2 linked regions of the Lonchura striata genome follow. The protein of the gene in region 1 interacts with the protein of each later gene in a pairwise test. Links are inferred from orthologs where the notes say so. Each region holds a gene or a part of one and is shown in the gene's direction. Other genes may lie near its edges.

Region 1 (10,036 bases):
TAGGTGTGTAGTGTTTAGTATGGGATTTTATATATCAGAAAAGATTTAAAGAAACAGAATTTGTTTCAGATAAAATGTGCCAATGCCTTGTGGGCTGCAGTGCCCCCTGCAGCTGAGCTGGTTGGAGCTCAGGCTGGATTTTCCAGTCCAGTATTCCAGGTTTGGAGTTTGGCCTGAACTCCAGGACACCTGATGAACTAAAATTTCACATCTTTGAGGCTTTTAAAAGCTCTCCCAGTTTCTGGGGGTGCTTGGTTTAATGCTCCCTCTTTCTGCCTCTGCCACCTGGTTGTAGCTCTGCAGCTTTTATCTGTGGATGTTCAGTGGGGAATTTCAATACATTTTATTATAGATTTGTTCCAAATTTAAAATTTTGTATATAATTTTAATCTTTTGGCAGTGTTGCAGGCTGGATTTCTTTATTCTTTACTCTTGTATTCCAACTACTTAATAATATTGGAGGACAATAATATTTGTATGCAACAATAATTCTATAATATCTTATACAATAATATTGTATAAGATCTAACTCTTCATTTTAGCCTGTGGATTAATTCACATTTCATACAGCATTTTTCAGTGTGCAGCAGAAATATGCTGTGCTTTGGCCATAAAAATCAGACAATACAACTGCTACAAGTAGTAATATTCATGTATCATGTCTGGAAGCTCGTAACAAAGAAAAGAAATTAATTTTCCTTCGAAAACTTAAAAATAGGGATATACTGAAGTAGTACATAAAAGGATCTACATTTAAATAAGGACCAGATTTTTTATGTGAAGAGATTGTTAATATTGGTACTCAAGCTGGACATTTTTATTTATGCCTGAGAACTTTTCCCTCTGCTTGCATTTTTAAATTTACTTCAAGAACTTTTGATTTTTTTTTTATTCATATGTATGAATTGTCTTACTTAGAAGGGAAACACTGATCTTCATAGTATATGATTTACACATGGAATATTTGTTTTAAAACACAACAAAAGCAAGTTCTATATTAATTTTTAAAACAGTGACTGGAAGATTCACTGTTAGCAGCAATCTGAGTGTTAAAGTCACTAAGGAGCTGAAGGGTTTCAGTGTTCTCCACCTGAAACCATCCAAAATTGAAATTTGAAATCCACATGAAATTGGCATCCACATGAAATATTATAGTTACTTTTTTAGGATAAAAGGGCTAAAATATGTAATTAACACTGCAAGTTTTATTCTAGTAAGGAAAATACAACTTTTAATGATACAAGTATTACTAATATGACAGCATTTGCTTGGTGAGGGAATTTGTAATTTTTCAGCTAATTAACAGAGTAATGCTAAAGAAAGCCTTTCTGAGACCGTGAAAAGGTTTGAAAGTGACAATCTCAAGAGTTAAAAGTATTCCTGGGATACTGCTTGTATTTTTAGTAAAGACTTGAGATAAATTGCACTTAACAGTTGAATTCAAAATAAAATTCAATATTTGTGTATTTCATTAAAGGTGATAGGGTCTGGGCATAATAAACTAATAATTTCAGGAATGTAAGACATGAAAAAGAACTTTTTCATCTTTCTTTTGTAGAGCAAACATCAGAGGAGCCCAGCCAAAGTGGCAAAGTGCTGCGGAGCAGGACGTGCATCATCAACTACAAGAAACACATCAGGGTGTCCAGCGTGGGGGAGAAGAAGAACCCCCGCAGGTGTGCCACGCTGGCAGCCAGCAAGATCAAGATCATGAGCAAAGCCAAGGAGGAATTATCCAGCTCAGAAAGTGTTTACCCAGTCAGGAAGAACCGCAAGCAGCTCCAGGGCAGCGTGTCCTCAGCCTGCAGGAAGAAGCTATTTAACAGCTCGGAGGTGGAGGCTTGTTCCAAGTCTGAAAATGAGAGTGAGCAGGTCTCTGGCAGGAAAAAACCTTCCTGCCCTGAGCCTTCTGTTTCTAAAAGGAAATATATTATTGAGTCTGAGAATGAGAGGACTGACTCGGAGACAGAAACTCGGAAGCAGAGTGATGACCACACGCAGCCACACAAACCCCTCTGTGCTGCAGCTCTGAATAATTTTGACTATAACTCCTCAGAGGAGAATTCCACAAACCACAGGGTAGAAAATGGGGGAAACTGGGGAATTTCTAGGCAGGCAGCTTCAGCCCACAACCATTGTACGAGTAACTCTGAAGAGGAGGTTGATTCTGACTTAGCTAAACTTGAAACTAAAAATACCAGAGTAGCAGCAAATAAAAAACCCAGAGCTTCTTTCAAGAGATTAAAACGGGTGGATGACTTCAAGGAAACAACAGAATCTGAAAAGGGGGGGAAACAAGAGGAGAAAAGCTCTGTCTCCGAGGATGTGGAGGCACCTGGGACTGCAGGAAGATCCAAAGCCAACTTCACCTGTTTCTCCTCGGACTCTGGAACCGACACCACCGTCTGCAGCGACGCCACGGAAAGCAGGAAGCGCAAGAGGAAATCCAAACCCGGCAGGAAAGAAAGCCTCAGCCAGGACTCCCTGAGGCCTTGCAGGAGGCCGCAGCGCAGGAAACGGCGGAAAGGCAGCCAGGAGCAGGACTCGGAGGAGGTGGAGTTCGGCGCGTGCCGGCGGGCGCCGCGGCGCTCCAAGATCCGCACGCGCAACGGCGGCCGGCGCACCGTGCGCTACAACGACGGCGACGACGACGACAGAGCCCTCGAGGATGCCGCCTGCGAAACGTAACCTTAACAAAAGGATAGCCAGCCCATCTCTGGTTTTTTATTTTTCTTTTTTTTTTTTTTTTTTTTTAATGGTAATAGCACTAGAACTCCTGATGGGCGCTGGCTGTTCTTTGTCCTACATTTCAGGGAATATATTTATATTTTTCTATGAAAAAGTTATGAATGTGATTAGATGATGACTTTCTCCTTTTTCATATTTTGACTTGCACTTGCCTGCCCATGTAGCAGCATTTAGCACAGATGCCAAAATGTGCCTCATTATAGGGGCAATTTTTTGTCTTTACTGGTATTTTATTACATATAAACAAGAGTTAAAAAAATGTTAAAACACTGCAAACAGGTTAATAGCAGTATGTCGAGTATTATTGTTATGGGTGCTGCAATGAAATACTACCTAGGTCATGCAACATTCAAGAACAGATTTCAAACATCTCTAATGCTGTATGAAATCATCTACAATAGTAACAGGCTTCTAAATCATAGTACACACTCTAAAAACCTGGTGGATGCAAGCATTGCTTCCAAAGAGGAATGAAAAGGCTGATAACTTCACAGCTTGATTCAGTGCAGGTGTTCAGTGTTCTCTGCTTGCATTGCTGAGAAGCAGTTACCAGTGAAGGAGTTGATTTGCCAGTTCCAGAGGCTTTGGTGAACAGAGGGTTCTGCTGACAGGTAGTACATCATTAATGTGACTTCTATACTGTAAACTTTTAAGATTATGAAATGCAGGTGAACTCTTGGGCCTAAAGGGTTTTTGTGTGTTTTCTTTATAAAATAGAAAAACAAACAAAACACTTGTTCTGTTTTCTTTATGCGTGGAAAGCTTGAGGTGCAGGATTCCGACATTCCAGACCTTTTTTTGCTACGTTTCTGTTGTTCCTCCATATTTAAAGTGTTTGAATGTTGGATTTCCCATTGATTAAACCTTACCAGTTTCTGACCATTGTAGTTTATCTCCTGTTTCCACAATGTTTGAGTTGGCTCTTGTTGACAAGAAAGAAAATTTTGCCAGGAAAATATGTGCAAGTCTCTGATTGAAGACATATCAACAACAAAAACACACAGCAGCTCTGAATTCTTAGTTTTCCCTGGAACTGTGCTGGTGGGAGCCCCACGATGGCTCCCCCAGCCCAACATCAGGGAATCTCTGCTCCTTCCCCACTCCAGGGTTCCTCCTCTGTGCTGCAGCTTCCCTTCCTGATTTTGTCATTCAATAGAAGATGTGACAGAGTATCAGATGGATCCAAACCTAGCTCATGTGAACTGAAATAGCAAGTTCGGGAATTGGGTTGGTCTGATTGGTAGTGGGATCCAGAAGGATTTGGGGGGGTGAAAAAATTACTGCAGCTGCACAATCCTGGTGAATAATGACAGAAATCCTTGTACAAATGGAAAGGCATCATGGAAAAAGGAGATGCCATCAGTGAGAACAATTTCAACACCCTCACTGATAACTCTGATTTTACCATCACTTTTGCTATGTCAGATGTTAGCACAGAGAAATACTCCTTTTTTTCTTCTTCTTCCTTAAAATTTCCATGTGAAGTCCAAAAATAATTTAAATGGTTCTTGCCCCAGGAAGTTTTATTTAGAGCATAGTCTTTAATAGGATGCAGCAGAATTTTGTAAATTCAAGATAAATGTTTATCTGGATTCTATATTTGGTTTCTGAAATACAAACACATTTGTGTTTAGTGATAAAACTTGAAGGTGGCTTTGTGTTTTCTTTGAGGAGCAAAATTTGTTATAAGGTAATAAGTCCACTATTTTTTTCTATTAGCAGCTGCATATTCTCAATGTTCTCTGGAGTACAACTACTCAAATTTGGGAATAACCAAACTGAACATCAGAGTTTTTATTAATTTTCACTTCAAACAGCTAAAATTGGGCCGGTAGGTTTGAATTTCTAATCTAGGTTTAGATTTACAAAGCTGGTTTTCTTTCAGGTGCTGTATTCTGTCACTGCACACAGAGGTTCATGATCCCTGAAAGCTGGAGATGGTGCTGGTTTTTGGAGCTGCAGATCCAAGAGGGATCCTTAGGGACCCTGACACTTTTATTTTCTAGGCAAAGCATGTGATGGTCTGTATTTCCTAATTTTATACAGTTACTGGGAAGAGAAATTATTAAACTGGAAAGGTATTTTGAGTCTTCCACTCTTTAAGAGTATTTATTTTTAATTTATTAAAGGAGCATGGTGGCTCTTGTAGAATTGGCAGTCCTTTCACCTTCCTTTACGTGAGCATTTTTGGTTTGGTCTAGCTGTACTCAGGGACACGAAGTAGTAGACCTTTAAAAGTAGGATCTTTATTTAATGTGACTTTTGGGGGGTGTTTTGGTTTGTTTTAGAGCAGGACCTGAGTCTGTGATGGTGATCAGGCAGCATGAACAGAGGCAAATGTTCAAGTGCAGGACAGAATCATAAAGGAATCAGATTCTTTCATGTTACAGGCTTTGATGATGTACATATGTTAGTGGACCAAAGTAAAGCTGTACACACACCTAGATGTCACTGTGCTCTTCTTTGGTTCAACCAGGCCAAGGGACAACAACCCCGGTGGGGCTGGAGAGCTGGAAAAGGCCCTGGGGGTGCTGTGCCAGGGGCTGGACACGAGCCCAGGGGTGCCCAGGGGGGCAAGAGGCCGCTGGCAGCTGGGCTGGATGAGGAATTGTGTGTCCAGCAGGAGCAGGGCAGGGATTGTCCCTCTGGGCTGGCTCGGAGAGGCCCCTCCAGGGCTGTGCCCAGTTCTGGTCCTGCAGGAGAGACCTGGAGGGGCTGGAGCGTGTCCAGGGCAGGGAACGGAGCTGGGAAGGGGCTGGAGAATTCCTGAGGGAGCTGGGAAGGGGCTGGAGAGTTCCTGAGGGAGCTGGGAAGGGAATGGAGAGTTCCTGAGGGAGCTGGGAAGGGAATGGAGAGTTCCTGAGGGAGCTGGGAAGGGAATGGAGAGTTCCTGAGGGAGCTGGGAAGGGGCTGGAGAGCTCCTGAGGGAGCTGGGAAGGGGCTGAGCTGGAGCAAAGGAGGCTCAGGGGACCTTGTGGCTCTCACAGCTCCTGCCAGGAGGGGACAGCCGGGGGGTCGGGCTCTGCTCCAGGAACAGGGACAGAACAAAACAGCATCGAGGTCAGGCAGGGGAGGTTTAAATGGGCCATCTGGATGATTTTCTTCACTGAAAGGATGGTTAATCCTTGGAAGAAGCTGCCCAGGGACGGGGTGCGGAGCCCCGTCTCTGCGAGCGGCGCTGAGGGGCCGCGCCGGCGCCTCCCGCGCCTGCTCCGGGCTGAGGGCGGCGCGGCGCAGGCGCGGGCGGCCATGGCGACCTTCTTCGGGGAGGTGGTGGTGGCTCCGTCCCGGGCCGGCCTGGACGAGGAGGAGGAGGCGCGGGAGGAGACGCCTGAGGACCGGGAGATCCGCAGGGAGATCGAGAAGAAAAGGTACCGGCGGCGCAGCTGGAGATCAGGGAAAGGCTCTTCCCCGGAGGTGCTGGCACTGCCCAGGGAATGGGCACGGCCCCGAGGCTGCCAGAGCTGCAGGAGCCTTTGGGCAGCGCTGCCAGGGATGCCCAGGGTGGGATTTTGGGGTCTGGGCAGGTCCAGGAGTGGGACTCAATTCCTTGTGGGTCCCTGCCAGCTCGGGCTGTTCTGTGGTTCTTTCCCCAGGGAGATCCAGCTCCTGTGGAGCTGTGCCGAGCAGCCCTTGGTGTGCTCCAGGTTCATCGTGGCCATCGGCAGGAACGCTGCGGGTGCGTGAGAACCAGAACTGCTGGGGTGTGCGGAATAAATTGAGGAGGAGGGAGGTGTAAATGTGCCAGGACATTCCCTGCTCCAAGCCCCAGTGTCCAGCCTGGCCTTGGGCACTGCCAGGGATCCAGGCTCTGGGCACCCTGTGCCACCCTCACATGGAACAATCCCTCCCAAAATCCCATTTAACCCTCCCCTCTTTACGTTGAGCTCATTCCCTTTGACCTGTCATCCCATTAGATTTTGAAATATCCCTCTCCAGCCTTTATTAATCCCCTCTATTTACTGAACGTGCAGCTCCTTATTTAGCAGCAGAGGTTAAACCTGGAGGCAGCTGAGTGGTCCAGAGAAAGCTGAAGTTGCTTTGTAGATGTAAAACACAGTTATTGTTACAGCTGCTTGCTCCTCGTGAAAGTTGATGTATTTTCAGTTGAAAAGTGAAATGTGTTTTAATTTGGTATTTTAGTTAGGACAATCCCCCTTTTCCTTTAACTGGCTTTTGTTTGGTAAACTCTGGGATTGTTTATTCATTGGCAAAAGTTTTAATCTAATAGTACCCAGAAGTCTTGTTTGCATTGAAGTGACATTTACATCACATTTAGATTTTATCAAAGTTAACTTTGCTCATTTGTTTGGGTTTTGTTCAGGCTTTCCCTTGAAAAAACAGTAATAGCTATTTTGGATCTGTCTTCTGTAGCTTTTGATAGGAATCTGATTTCTGAACGTTTTTGCCACACTCTTGCCTCTGTTTTCTAGAATCAGTGTAATAGTTGTGCCTTGCTGCTTCACTGATTTTTGGTTTTAATCTGCTATGTCAGATTAAGGATATTTCACATCCTTAATTAGTACTAAAGAAATTGAAGTTGATTGTAATGCTATAATTCCTAAGAACAAGTGATTTTTATGTTAGGGATCTGTATATGTTGAACAGCTCTTTATCTTTTTAAATTTGAATAAGTGGGGCTAATCACATTGTTGATGTTTCTTAGATTTGGTTAGTAAATCTAAGTTGATATAAATGAGTTATTCTTCCTTCAGGTTGCAAAGGAATATTCTAGTTTAGTCCAGCTATTTATTTGTAAAGCAGAGGTTTTATTCTTTATAAATTAACAGTATATTTTATGGCTTTTGCAGCTTTCCTGTCATCTTTTATCCTGGATTCTGTGTGCTGGGAAGTGGTTGGAGTTGTGAAGCTGTGGAATGAGTGGTGCAGAACATCCAGCACCACAAATGTCCTTCCCACAGACTCTTTCTGTTTGTTCTACAGATTGATTTCAGATCCCACAGTAAGTGACTTGAGCATTAATTCCTCTGTGGTTTGGCTCTCTGAAGAAGAGAGCTTTCATCCAGCCCCAAACTAGATACTGCAGGATCATGGATAAATCTCATAAGTGATCTGAAGGGTTAATTCTCACTAAAACTGTGTGAAGTTCTGTGTGGAGCTCAGCACAGAGATGTCACAGCCTCGTGGCTTCACTTCATTTGTGAGCAAAAATTCCTCATTGAAACAGAGTTAAAGAAACCCAAAATAACTGAACAAGTTATTGTCTGCAGCCACATCATCCTTACAGGTGCTGATGAGCTGCTGTTGTGGCCTTTAAACCACTTACTTACACAAGTTTTTACTTTTTTTTAGGTTGTATTGTGCCAGTGTAGTTGCTACGTGGCTGAGGATCAACAGTTCCAGTGGCTTGAGAAGGTAAAACTGTCAAGAAAATAAATGGAGTAATAAAATCCTAAGGGTGGGGATCTTCCTCTCTGATACTTTAGACATGACAGTGTTAAATAAGTTTCCCCTGTGGTTTTATTTTATTAAATATTCAAAAATAGATAAATTTACTCTCTGCAGGACCTGTAAAAACCCTTTCTAGATGCTGCCAGCTGTACCTGCTGTAACCTCCCAGCCGAGTGCAGTCACTCCTTTTGGACAGTTTCAGTTTTGTTGGCCCTTAACCACCTCCCAAACCTTTTTCCTGCTTGCTTTTCATTTCCCATGGCTTATTTCAGCTGTATTTCACCTCTGGGAGAATTTTTCCTTGAAAAAACCAACAGCAATTTGTACAGCTGCCAAAAGATCACCAGTTGAGGAGCTCCTGGTGGATGGTGTCAGCTGCTGGGGGTGTTCTGTGCCTTTCCCAAGGGGGAGCTGGAGGGGAAAGCGTCTCCCAAGCAGCATTTGTCCCATTTGTTCCCAGATTTAACATTCCCAACATCATGCAGGTACAGGAGCACTGCTGGCTCACTGAAGTCTCTCCAAATATCATCATTTTTATTTTAATAAGATAAAGCCAGGGGCAAATGTTCCTCCTCTTGTTTTTGCTGATGGATTTGGGTCACTGCTTTGCCTGGAGGAAGTGTGGCTTACTATTTTGTCTTGTTGTCTGTCTGCTCCTTCCCTGCCTGCCTTTAAATCTCTGCTGAGCTGATGGACCAGCAGGGATTCTAAAGCTGGGCTTAGAGGTAAGTACAGCTTTGCTGGGGAATCACAGCTCATTTGGAAGTTTAAAAGCCCCGAGACCTCAAATGTTTTGCTTTTGCTGTATTCCACATGTTCCTGCACTTGATTTAAAGTGGGATTGCAAAAGTAGGATGGCTGGGGGTTGTCTTCCCCAGCTGTTTGTGGATATGTGTGATTTCCATTGTGGGTGTCCCTGAACTGTAGGAGTGTGCTTGTACCAAGTCAATGTTCCTGAGTATTTTTAAATTTTGTGGTTATTGGTATTTTTAAATGTGCAGCAGAAACAACGTGCTGGCAGTCTTTTTGCTTTTAATGTGAGTTGCAGCCCCATTCTGTGTGTAAATCCTGATTTACTGAGCATCTCCCATCTCCACAAGTCATATCTTCACATCTGGGCGTGTTTTCTCTGTAAGGATCACTGACAAACCAGAACACACAGGTTGGAGTTTTGCAGACATTAATTCCAGACAGTGTTCCCAACAAAGCAAGTGGAAAATATGCGAGCTTCTGAATATTTCTGTCAGATTTCTGGCACAGTGGTGACACAGTGATGGCACAGGCAGCTTCCCTCCTGGGATTGGTACGCAGACAGAAACAGGCAAGTTTCTGTCACAGTTTCCAAATTCTCTGTTTTCTTTTCTCCTATTGGTATTTTGTGACAGCCAGAAGGTTTGTGTGAAACTCGGTTCTTTGAATCTGAGAAAGAGAATCCTAAATTTTCTTTCTCAACTGGACTTGAATAGAATTAAATAAAACCTGTGCATTTAAAAGAAAGTCTTTTACAATATTGTGGGACATGGGGCACAATTTTTATTTCAAATGTTACGCAGCTCAGTGAACTGCTTGTTTTTATTTGGAATCCTTCTTCTTTCAATCACCATTAATTAAAGCAGTAAATCTTAATATATTGACTAGAAAGTGCTGAAAACTTCTCCAGCAGATCACTAGACTTGGTAAATATGTCAGCTGTTATTTTGGGGGTTTTTATCTCCATCCCAGGAGCGATGCCTGACAAATCTGTACCTGAAGGCTGTGATTCAGACTGGTTTTGGTCCTGCAAACCTGAGTCCAAGTGCCCTTTGCACTGAAATTGAAATGAATCCTTGAGGTTCCTCTGCTTGTATTGTGAGAAGAGAACTTTTGTTGATGTATT
Region 2 (9,065 bases), on another chromosome or scaffold:
TTAAAAAGGTAATTCTATTTAAATTTAATAGAAAAAGGAAGCATCATTAAACATTCAAAAACCCCAAGTCCTCAACATTTACAATTCTATACTGAGCTTCCCCCACCACCGATAAAAGAGTAAGTTAGCCCTCCCCAAAATTACTTACTTGAGTACTAGTTATTTCTGAAGAAAGTGTCTTACTAAGTTGTGGATACATTTCCAGTCTGATGCTTAAAACACCAACAGAAACCTTTGATTCTGTACCTTTGAAACAAAATTAATTTTCATCAGTTCTCTCATATTCATTTTGCTTAGATTATTTCAGCCAGGCAAGGGCAAACCATTAAAATATGTATGTTAGCCTTAAATAATCACAAAAAGTAACTAAACTTCATTCAACATAGGCTAAGTAGGAATTTTAATTGAAATTTCAAACTCAAATGAGGCTACAAGAAAGCATAATATACAAAAGCACAGGTGTCTACTTCCAATAAAATGTTCCACAGCCCTATTTGCAGCCAGTACTGGGACATATGAGATGAATCCTACAATGTTATTCTAGAAATGTCTGGAATAGGCATCTAAAATCGAGCCAGAGAATCACACACTGTAAATGTGCCTATTTCTACTGATTACGCAAGTAGATTAAATTTAAATAGGTAGAAATAAGTGAAGCTCATTTTCCTCCAGGATACAGTTCTTATGAAGGACTCTGGCTGACATACAAAGAAATTTATCAACTTAGAAAAAACTCCCCAAAACAACAAACAAATGAACAACAACCCCCCTGGACTTAATATTGTTGCCTAATGCTGAAAATTTTAAATTACATAAACAACAATGAGCTTTACAAAACAGATCACAGATGGGTTCATAAGCAATACAAGCAATGGAAACCTCACATAATAGTTTATCTGTTTATCTGAGATGGCAGCATCCTTTGATGTTCTTGATGCATTTTGTACAATAACAGGATTTTGAAGAGGAGAAAAAGCACTTGATTTATTGGATTGATACTTTATTACTTGGAATAAAGCTAATGAGAATTAAATTTAACTTGCTCCATAACCCATTCAAGAATTAAACCCTACTTATTTGTTATGCATTTCCAAGTCATTACAGAATATTAAAATCAGAATGGCCTGGTTGGATGGAATCTTAGAAACCACCTATTTCCAATCCCCCTGCCACCTTCCACAAAATCATGTTGGTCAGAGGTCCATCCAACCTGACCTTGAACACTTCTCAGGATGTGGCATCCACAGCTTCTCTGGGAAACTTGTTCCAGGAAAAATTTCTTCTTAAAATCTAATCTAAATTTACTCTGATCTTGTCCTCTCATTACCTGCTCTTGTAAAAAGTCTTGTAGGAAGTAATGAGAGACCTAGTCTTCATTCACTAAATCATATCCTAAATCTTGGGTTGGAAGTCCTGAGAAGAGGACTGGGGACAAGTGACACACAAAAATACACACGCGTACTAACTGCTAAGCACCTAAACCAAGCCGTTCAGAACCACACTTCCAGCTACTGGGATAAATGGGAGCAGAGCAGAGATCCTTTTTTCCAGACATTGTTAATTTGCTATGAAAGGCACACAAGCTGGATTTTACTCCCCAGTGCACTGACCAGATATATTCCTGGAGATGAACTGGATTTTTGGTTGGTTAGTTTGATTCTGATAACTTAACCAGATTTTGCAGGTAATCCATAGTGGGAATTCCCAGGCATGAGAACCATTTTTATATGGGATCTGGAATACTCATTTTTAGCAGCTTGATAACAGAAAAATCTGACCATTAAGTCTTCTAGGGATTTTCTAAGGATAATTTACAGTTACTTCTGAATTGAAGAAAAAAAATTAACTAGATCAAAAATACTGCTTTAAGCTTGTAAGCGAGCTCACTACTCAATATTTTAAGTCATTACAACATGCTTATTTTTCATCCTTACCTACACCCAGGAGTTCCACAGCAACACTTGCTATGCCATTCTCTGCAGCCAAGACAGACCTCCACTCCAAGAAATAGGATGCTACCAGTGTGGTCTCACCAAATGTGTCTGTTTTGATCAGAACCATATGTACTGGGTCACATATAGATAACATAGTGGTTGCATCCACCATCTTGCTTCCATCACCTGCCATTATTAAACCAAAATAAAACAACAAGAATATTATCATCCCAAGTTCTCCTCAGAATTTTAAAACAGTATGCAACAAAATGCAATGTCTGTAATAAGTATAAAGAAAGACCTTGAGTCCAGAAGTGTAAACAATGATCCTATCTCTAACACCATACTCACTTTAGGACAGAGCTACAGAGAGATTACAGAGAAGATAAAATTATTTTGCAGTTGAGTACTGCAATGCAACTAGTTCAGATACACAAAAAATATAAATGGAATTAACATTTAAGAATTTATAAAGCTGGTCAATTTCAAGTTATTTTAGAGTGAAAAAGAAGGAAAAGAGCAAGAGCAGAGAAAGATCTACAAGGGGTATAACCCAATACAGTAATCAGTTTTCTCAGGAAAACATGACAAAAACCAGGAAAAAAATTCACTAAATAATACCAAACATATTTCACAATAACTCTCAGGTCAGAAGAAATCCCAACAGCATCAGCTTTAAACCCACAATATTCCTTACCTAGGGTATCCTTGTGTATTTCAAGTAGAAAACCATCCTGAAAATCTGGCTCACAGGCACAGGGTACAGGTTTGGAACGGAAGCGCTGGTTTCGAAAATGTAAACACAGAGTGAAGGTAGAACAGATCTGGCCAGGCAGAGGCTCTGGTTCCTGAAGATGTTCCAGAAAAGCTTTTCCACCCAAAACCTGAAGGTAAAGATACCTCCGTGTTGGGTCAATGTTAGCTGCAAAGCGTAGCAATAAAAATGAAGAGACTACAAACAGATCTTAGAAAGCTTAATTTGTTAAATATCAGGTAACTAACAGGACACTAGCAAAAAATTAAACTTCTTTGAAACATGCTTAGAAGAAAGTGATTTTAAAATATACCTTTGTGTAAAGTAAATGAATTAATAATAAATAATATTTAATGCAACACTGATTGCTGCTGCTTACATGAGTTTACTCCCTGTGGATAAGCAGAGGAAACATCCACCTTTATTCCAGTTCATACTGGATTACTAATTCAGAGTGCCAAAATCAGAGACTTCAAATTTGCTTTAAAACCATGATCTAAACATTTAAATAAACAAGAAACATACTTTTTTTCAAAACTGGTGGTTCTCTGTCAACAAAATGTGTTGATGGTTTTGGAGCCAAAGTCCTCTCCGTTTCATTCACATCCTGGAATTACAATTAAGACTTTTTAAGGACTCAAGGGATGCAACAGTGCTCTTACCACAGTCTTCTAAAAATTAAAGGATCTTCCATTTCGTCTGAATGCCATTCCTTAGGTATACTCCCTTCTAAAACTGAACAAATATTTTCAGTGCAGTATTATCACCAAACCGATTTCAGCATGTGCATTAATCTTCTCTGCTCCTATAATGTCTCAAATCAGTAAGGTCCTTACAAAACTCCAGAAGCAGCGGTTTCACTTTGTCGAAAAACCACGGCAGTAAGAGGAATAAGCAGAAATATTTCCCTTCTTAAAAAGCTACTTACAGTTACAAATTTAAGTTCCTTCATAACATCATCAATGATTCCCCGCTGTCTTAGGGCTCTTATCAGATCTTCTGTGGACAACTGCTGCTGCTCAGGCGCCAGCTCTTCTCGTACAGTCTCAGCAAGAACTTCTCGTATCCTCCCATGGACATCCATCTGAAAGAAAATTCATTATGTGCTACAAACACCAGCCCTCTGTATGGCAGCAGGTACAACTTACCAATTAAGTCTGTAAGGCTAATGGTGTTTTCCTAAGAACACAGAAATAACGATATCAAAATACTGATCCTTGCACAACTAATCAAATGAGCCACTATCTTACAAAAGCAACTCTCCCAGTAAAAAAAAATTACAAGCATACAAAACCTTGGCATTTTCACTGCTCTTTGACAGCAACTCATCTGGAACGTCCCCCCTTACAAAAAGGTCTGGAAATACATAAATTACAAAATGGTCACTGTTCCATTTTCTTGTCTCCCTCAAAATTCAACCTTAATATAATACTTCCTTATTTTTTAAGGGGAAAAAATATTCATTATATAGGTTGGGCACAAAAGCAGTAGATCTCCTTTGCAAGCTTTCCCTATACTCAAAGGGATGTCTGAGAATGCCCATCATCTGAGCTGTGAAAGCAGATGGATTTATAGAGCTGACTCTCACACTGGAAGGCTGCGAAGGACACAGTCACCAGGACCTGAAACGGAATCACAGAACGACCTTGTTGGAAAACACCTTCAAGATCATCTAATTCCAAAACCCTGGCCATGGGCAGGAACACCTTCCACTAGATCCGGTCACTCAGAACCCCACCCAGCCTGGCCTGAAACACTTCCAGGGATGGGACATCCACAACCTGCTCCAGTCCCTCAACACCCATCACAGTGAAAAACTCTTCCTAATATGTCTTTCAATTTGAATCCATCTCCCCTTGTCCTGTCACTACACGCTGTGGTAAAAAGTCTGTCTCCTTTCTTGCTGGCTCCCCTCAGAAGGCTGCTATGAAGTTCCCACCGAGCCTTCTCCTCTCCGGCTGCACAATCCCAGCTCTCTCAGCCTTCCTCAAGCAGAGGCGCTGCCCCCCTCTAATCATCTTGCTGGCCTCCTCTGGACTCACTCCAAGATCCCCGTTCTCCTGTGACGGGCAGGAATATTCACCACTGCACTAACAAGCGCTATAGGAGTTACAGCCTCCTTACTTATTCCCCGGCCAGTTCAAGACCCTCGCTCAAAAAGCAACAGGAAAGCGACCAAGCGGCGCCTGGAAACCACCTGCAGCGACCCAACTGGGAAAACAAAGCGGGGCGCCGGAGCGGGCGCCGCCGCCACCCGCGGCCGGGTGACACCGGCACGGAGGCCAGCACAGCTCCCTGAGGGCCGGGGAAGTCTCTCCGGCGCCGGGCCCACCTTGAGCAGCTGCTGGTGGATGATCTGCTTCAGCTCCGAGGCTTTCTCCGGCGGCAGCGACATGGCGGCACCGCCACCGAGCGAGCCCAACCGCCCCGCAGCCAGCGCGGGCAGCGCCGCCGCCGCCCCCTGGCGGCGGCACGCGGGTGCGGCGTCCGCGCCCTGCTTCCTTCCTCCCTCCCTGCTTCCTTCCTCCCTCCCTCCTTCCCTCCCTCCTTCCTTCCTTCCTTCCCTCACTGCCTGCTTTCTCCTCCCTTCCCGGCCGGCATGTTCATTCCGTGCGGCCGCGGCGGGGGCTCCGCCGCCCCCGACTTTAAAGGGTTCACTCTGCTGATGGTGAGTCACGCTCCTGCTTCGCCTTTCGCCGCCCTCGCCCTCGGTGCGTTTGAGGGCTCGCTGCCCGCGGTCCCTGTGCCGAGGGCTCCGCTCCGCTCCTGTGGGACGGGACATGTCCCACGGGGTTCTGGTGTCGGTCCCTGCCCTGCCCGAGGCTCGTCCCTGGGCGCTTGGCCGCGGGATAAGCGGAGAAAGCTCAGGGCAGGCGGTGTGTGTGGAATCTGTGGGGTGTTCTGGGAAAAGAGGGTTTGGAGGGCTCTGTCTGCGGCAGAGCTTAGCGCGGTCTTCTCCTTTTCTGCCGGCTTCTCCCTCCTCAGAACCCCGGGTTTGCCCCTGTCAAGACGATCCGTGCCGAGCTGCAAAAGCTATATTTTAATTTAGAGCAATAACTATATGCTATTTCGGAGCTATAGCTATACGCTGTTGCTCTAAAAATTAACGCGCCCTATGTGCTTTTACTGGATTTGCAGCACCCGTGGGTTGTCACTGCAATAAAAGCTTGGGATTTTTTTTTTTTTTTTAATTTAGATGTGATATATAAATGCTTCAAATGTTTTTTTTAAAAAGCCATTCTGCTACATTTAAATCTCGGACTAGGATTGTTTTCGGAAGTGTTTTTATCGCGCGTGACACCGGTGCCGGGTGACGTGCCCGAGGCGACGCTGCCGGGCGGGAGCTGCAGGCTGCGGAGGGACGAACGCCGTCTGGTCTGGCCTCGCTGCGCTGGCTGCAGGAGCGCCGCCGCCCAGGCGGCTCCACTGCCGGCACGGCTGCCGGGGAGTCATTCCCGCTCCGCTGGCGAGCGCCAGGAAGCGCATCCCTGCCGAGCTGCGCGCCTGCGGCGGGCGGGCAGCTGGGTGCCAGCCAGGCGGGGGCACGGCAGTGCTGCCGCGGCCCCCTTCATCTTCTGTCCGCCTCAAATCCGCTGTCTTTCCCCAACAGGCAGCAGCAGCAGTAATTCTTAGATGTGATTATAAATTAGAGGAAAGCAACCGAGCGGTTTATGGTAGTCTTCCCGTAATAGTTTCTTTGGAAGGACACTGACTCTTTACTTTCTCTTTCCGTGTCGTCATATTAGGTCAGTATCTGCCCCGATCGATGATAACCCGTAGCAATTCTTATGAAATTAATTTAAGGGCACCCTTATAATTTTCATCCTTAAAAAATATGTAAAATTACATACTCTTGTCTATGAGTCAGTCTGAGATTTAGAGGCTTAACATGTAATACCAGAGCTGCCTTTGGGCATCATGTGAGCCAGTCTCACATCAGTCACTTGAGTGACTTTTACCTACTCTCAATCCAAAAATGTGGGGAAGGAGGTAAGTTTCCAAGCTGTTCTTTCAGTTTACAATTAGACAGGATTATTCACAGAACTGGCCAGGATGTTTTTTGTCGGACAGAGACCAAATCCTGTATTTACCAATTCTTCTGGTAGGAAATAGTCACCTTTGCCAGAGGATGAGCAGCCACTTTCAGAAATGATGTTTGACCAGATTTTAAGGTTTCACTATTTGAAGAGCACATTATGCCATCCATGAAGTATGCTGTAATTCGGTTCGTTCTGTTACTTCAGCCAGCCGTGTCCGTGGGGAATGTCGGTCAGTTGGCAATAGATCTGGTGATTTCCACGCTTGACATGACTAAAGTTGGTTACTTCTATACCGATTGCCTGGTGCCAATGGTTGGAAATAACCCATATGCAACAGCAGAGGAAAACTCAATGGAGCTGAGTATAAATGCTGAAGGTGGGTATAGAATACTGCAAGCGTTTGCAAGGGACATAAGATGCAAGAACATCACATTTTCTTTTTCGTTGTTGTTAAATTTTGCTGATGTGCTTAAATTAAGGGCAGTAATAACAGCTGCAGAAACCTACAGATAGGAATGTATTCATATTTCACAAATGAAACTGTTCCTGTTGTTATTTTGGAAAACCAATTTGACATTTAGAATGTTTGAGCCATATTGTAGTGCAACCAGAACTCTCTGTGGTATTAATCCAAAGCAATATGAAGTGTGCACATACTTAAAATAAATTATTGGAATACAAGTTGAATTTCTCATTTAGAAAGATACTTATCCACTCTTCTTCTTTCCTACATACCTCTGCCTTTTTCCCTGTGTAATGTTTCTCCCACTCCCCCTACAAATTCTTAATTTCTTTCCCTACATTCATCATTGTATCTCCTTTTTTTTTACCCTCTTAAATCACAGAAATCTCAGAATAATATGGCAATCTTTGCAAAGATGCATACATAATCTGAATCATTACAGAAGGCAAATCCTCATATATGTTTCATAATTCAGTCCTTAAATTAGTACAACTGAAAGTACAATGCACAGAAATATGTGGTTTTAACACAGTGGATGTTGTCAGGCTTTCCCGTATGAATTGATAACTGAAAGGTTTACTTTACTATCCTGAAGTTTGTAAGTGGGGTAATTCTTGATATATTTAAACCCAGATTCTCAGTTTCTGCTTAATATGACAATGATTTCTTCTTGTAGTGTACTCCTTACCTTCAAAGAAACTTGTAGTTCTGCAGATCAGATCACCTTTTATAAAGGTATGTATGTTCATCGATCATTTTTACTTCACTGTTTGGTTTGAATAGTTCTGCTGGCAAAAATATTTTTCTACTTCAGGCTGTAACACCTTCTGCAGTTGGTAAAGTTTTACTGATTTCTGCATTTGCTGAGGCATTTTGCATCATCAGTTTGGGCATTTTGTTTTTCCAAGCCCCACAACAGCTGCCTGTGTTGGTAGATTTTAGTGCTAATATCTCCTTAGTTATTAAGAGTCATGAAAATACAAAATGGTCTGGGTTTTGTTTGTTTATTTTTTCCTTTGCATTTATATTTTTTCTGTATTCTTTGTAATAGCTTTATTCTTTTTTGTGTTATGCCAATTTAATTATTTCATATTATTCTATATTCATTTAAACAATGTTCATTTGGTAAAAATGAGGAATTTAGTATTACTCATTAATTGGGCAGTGGCTGTAATTTAAAATAAGCAGAATGCCACCACAGAAAAGAAAATTGTAGTGCAGTATTTTAGCAGTTCAAAGTGTGGAAAAATACTGTGTGATCCTGCCATCCCATCCTGCTCTAAATCTTTTTCCTTTGGTATTAACGGCACACAAAACAGGTAGTACTGTTGTTCTTGACATGGTCTTAGAGATAATTCTTGTAATTCTATTTGTAGTTTTGCTTAAGTAAACAACCAGGGCAGTTCTCTGCTTTCTAATATATCTGGGGCTGAAAACTAAGTGGATATGAAGAATAATTTACGTCACTGCTAAATACTATATGTAACACCTAGTATTGTTAAGGACACATTAAATTTTTCACTTTTTTGTCTGTGTCTTTGCATGAAGAACAAGTACAGGCCATTCTGTGAAACTCTGCTTTCTTGGGTGAAGAGCAGCAAATTTGCCAGGGTTGTCCTCCTGTCCAGCAGCCACGCATACCAGCGTGATGATGAGCAACTTTTGGGGTATGTTTGTCTCCTTAAAAGATCTAATTGATGTTTCTGGGTTTTTTTGACTGATATATTTCCCTCTACTTCCATGTCCTGAGTACTTTTGGCAGGTGCTTTTACTTGCATGTGTGCATTGGTCATAAAATGCTTAGTATACTGTTAAAACATGACGTATTACAGTACAAGTCACTGAATTTTCTAGGTTACTACTGTCAGAAGTAC

Evidence for each region.
Region 2: the proteins of PSMG1 (region 1) and PSMG2 interact in binary tests that used the Homo sapiens proteins (3 or more experiments, as listed by UniProt). The link is inferred for Lonchura striata from reciprocal best matches to the Homo sapiens genes PSMG1 and PSMG2.

The regions. Positions count from the first base shown.
Region 1 is NC_134604.1:113,906,647-113,916,682, forward strand, and holds the start of PSMG1 (proteasome assembly chaperone 1), read left to right. Parts: upstream 1-5,981; 5' UTR 5,982-5,997; coding exon 5,998-6,119; intron 6,120-6,344; coding exon 6,345-6,427; intron 6,428-7,559; coding exon 7,560-7,711; intron 7,712-8,061; coding exon 8,062-8,124; intron 8,125-10,036. Other genes in the region: BRWD1 (bromodomain and WD repeat-containing protein 1), read left to right, coding at 1,559-2,688. UniProt on the Homo sapiens protein: Chaperone protein which promotes assembly of the 20S proteasome as part of a heterodimer with PSMG2.
Region 2 is NC_134603.1:53,161,951-53,171,015, forward strand, and holds the start of PSMG2 (proteasome assembly chaperone 2), read left to right. Parts: upstream 1-5,232; 5' UTR 5,233-5,287; coding exon 5,288-5,356; intron 5,357-6,932; coding exon 6,933-7,104; intron 7,105-7,867; coding exon 7,868-7,926; intron 7,927-8,739; coding exon 8,740-8,858; intron 8,859-9,065. Other genes in the region: CEP76 (centrosomal protein of 76 kDa), read right to left, coding at 149-246, 1,935-2,120, 2,632-2,856, 3,214-3,295, 3,617-3,772, 5,021-5,083. UniProt on the Homo sapiens protein: Chaperone protein which promotes assembly of the 20S proteasome as part of a heterodimer with PSMG1.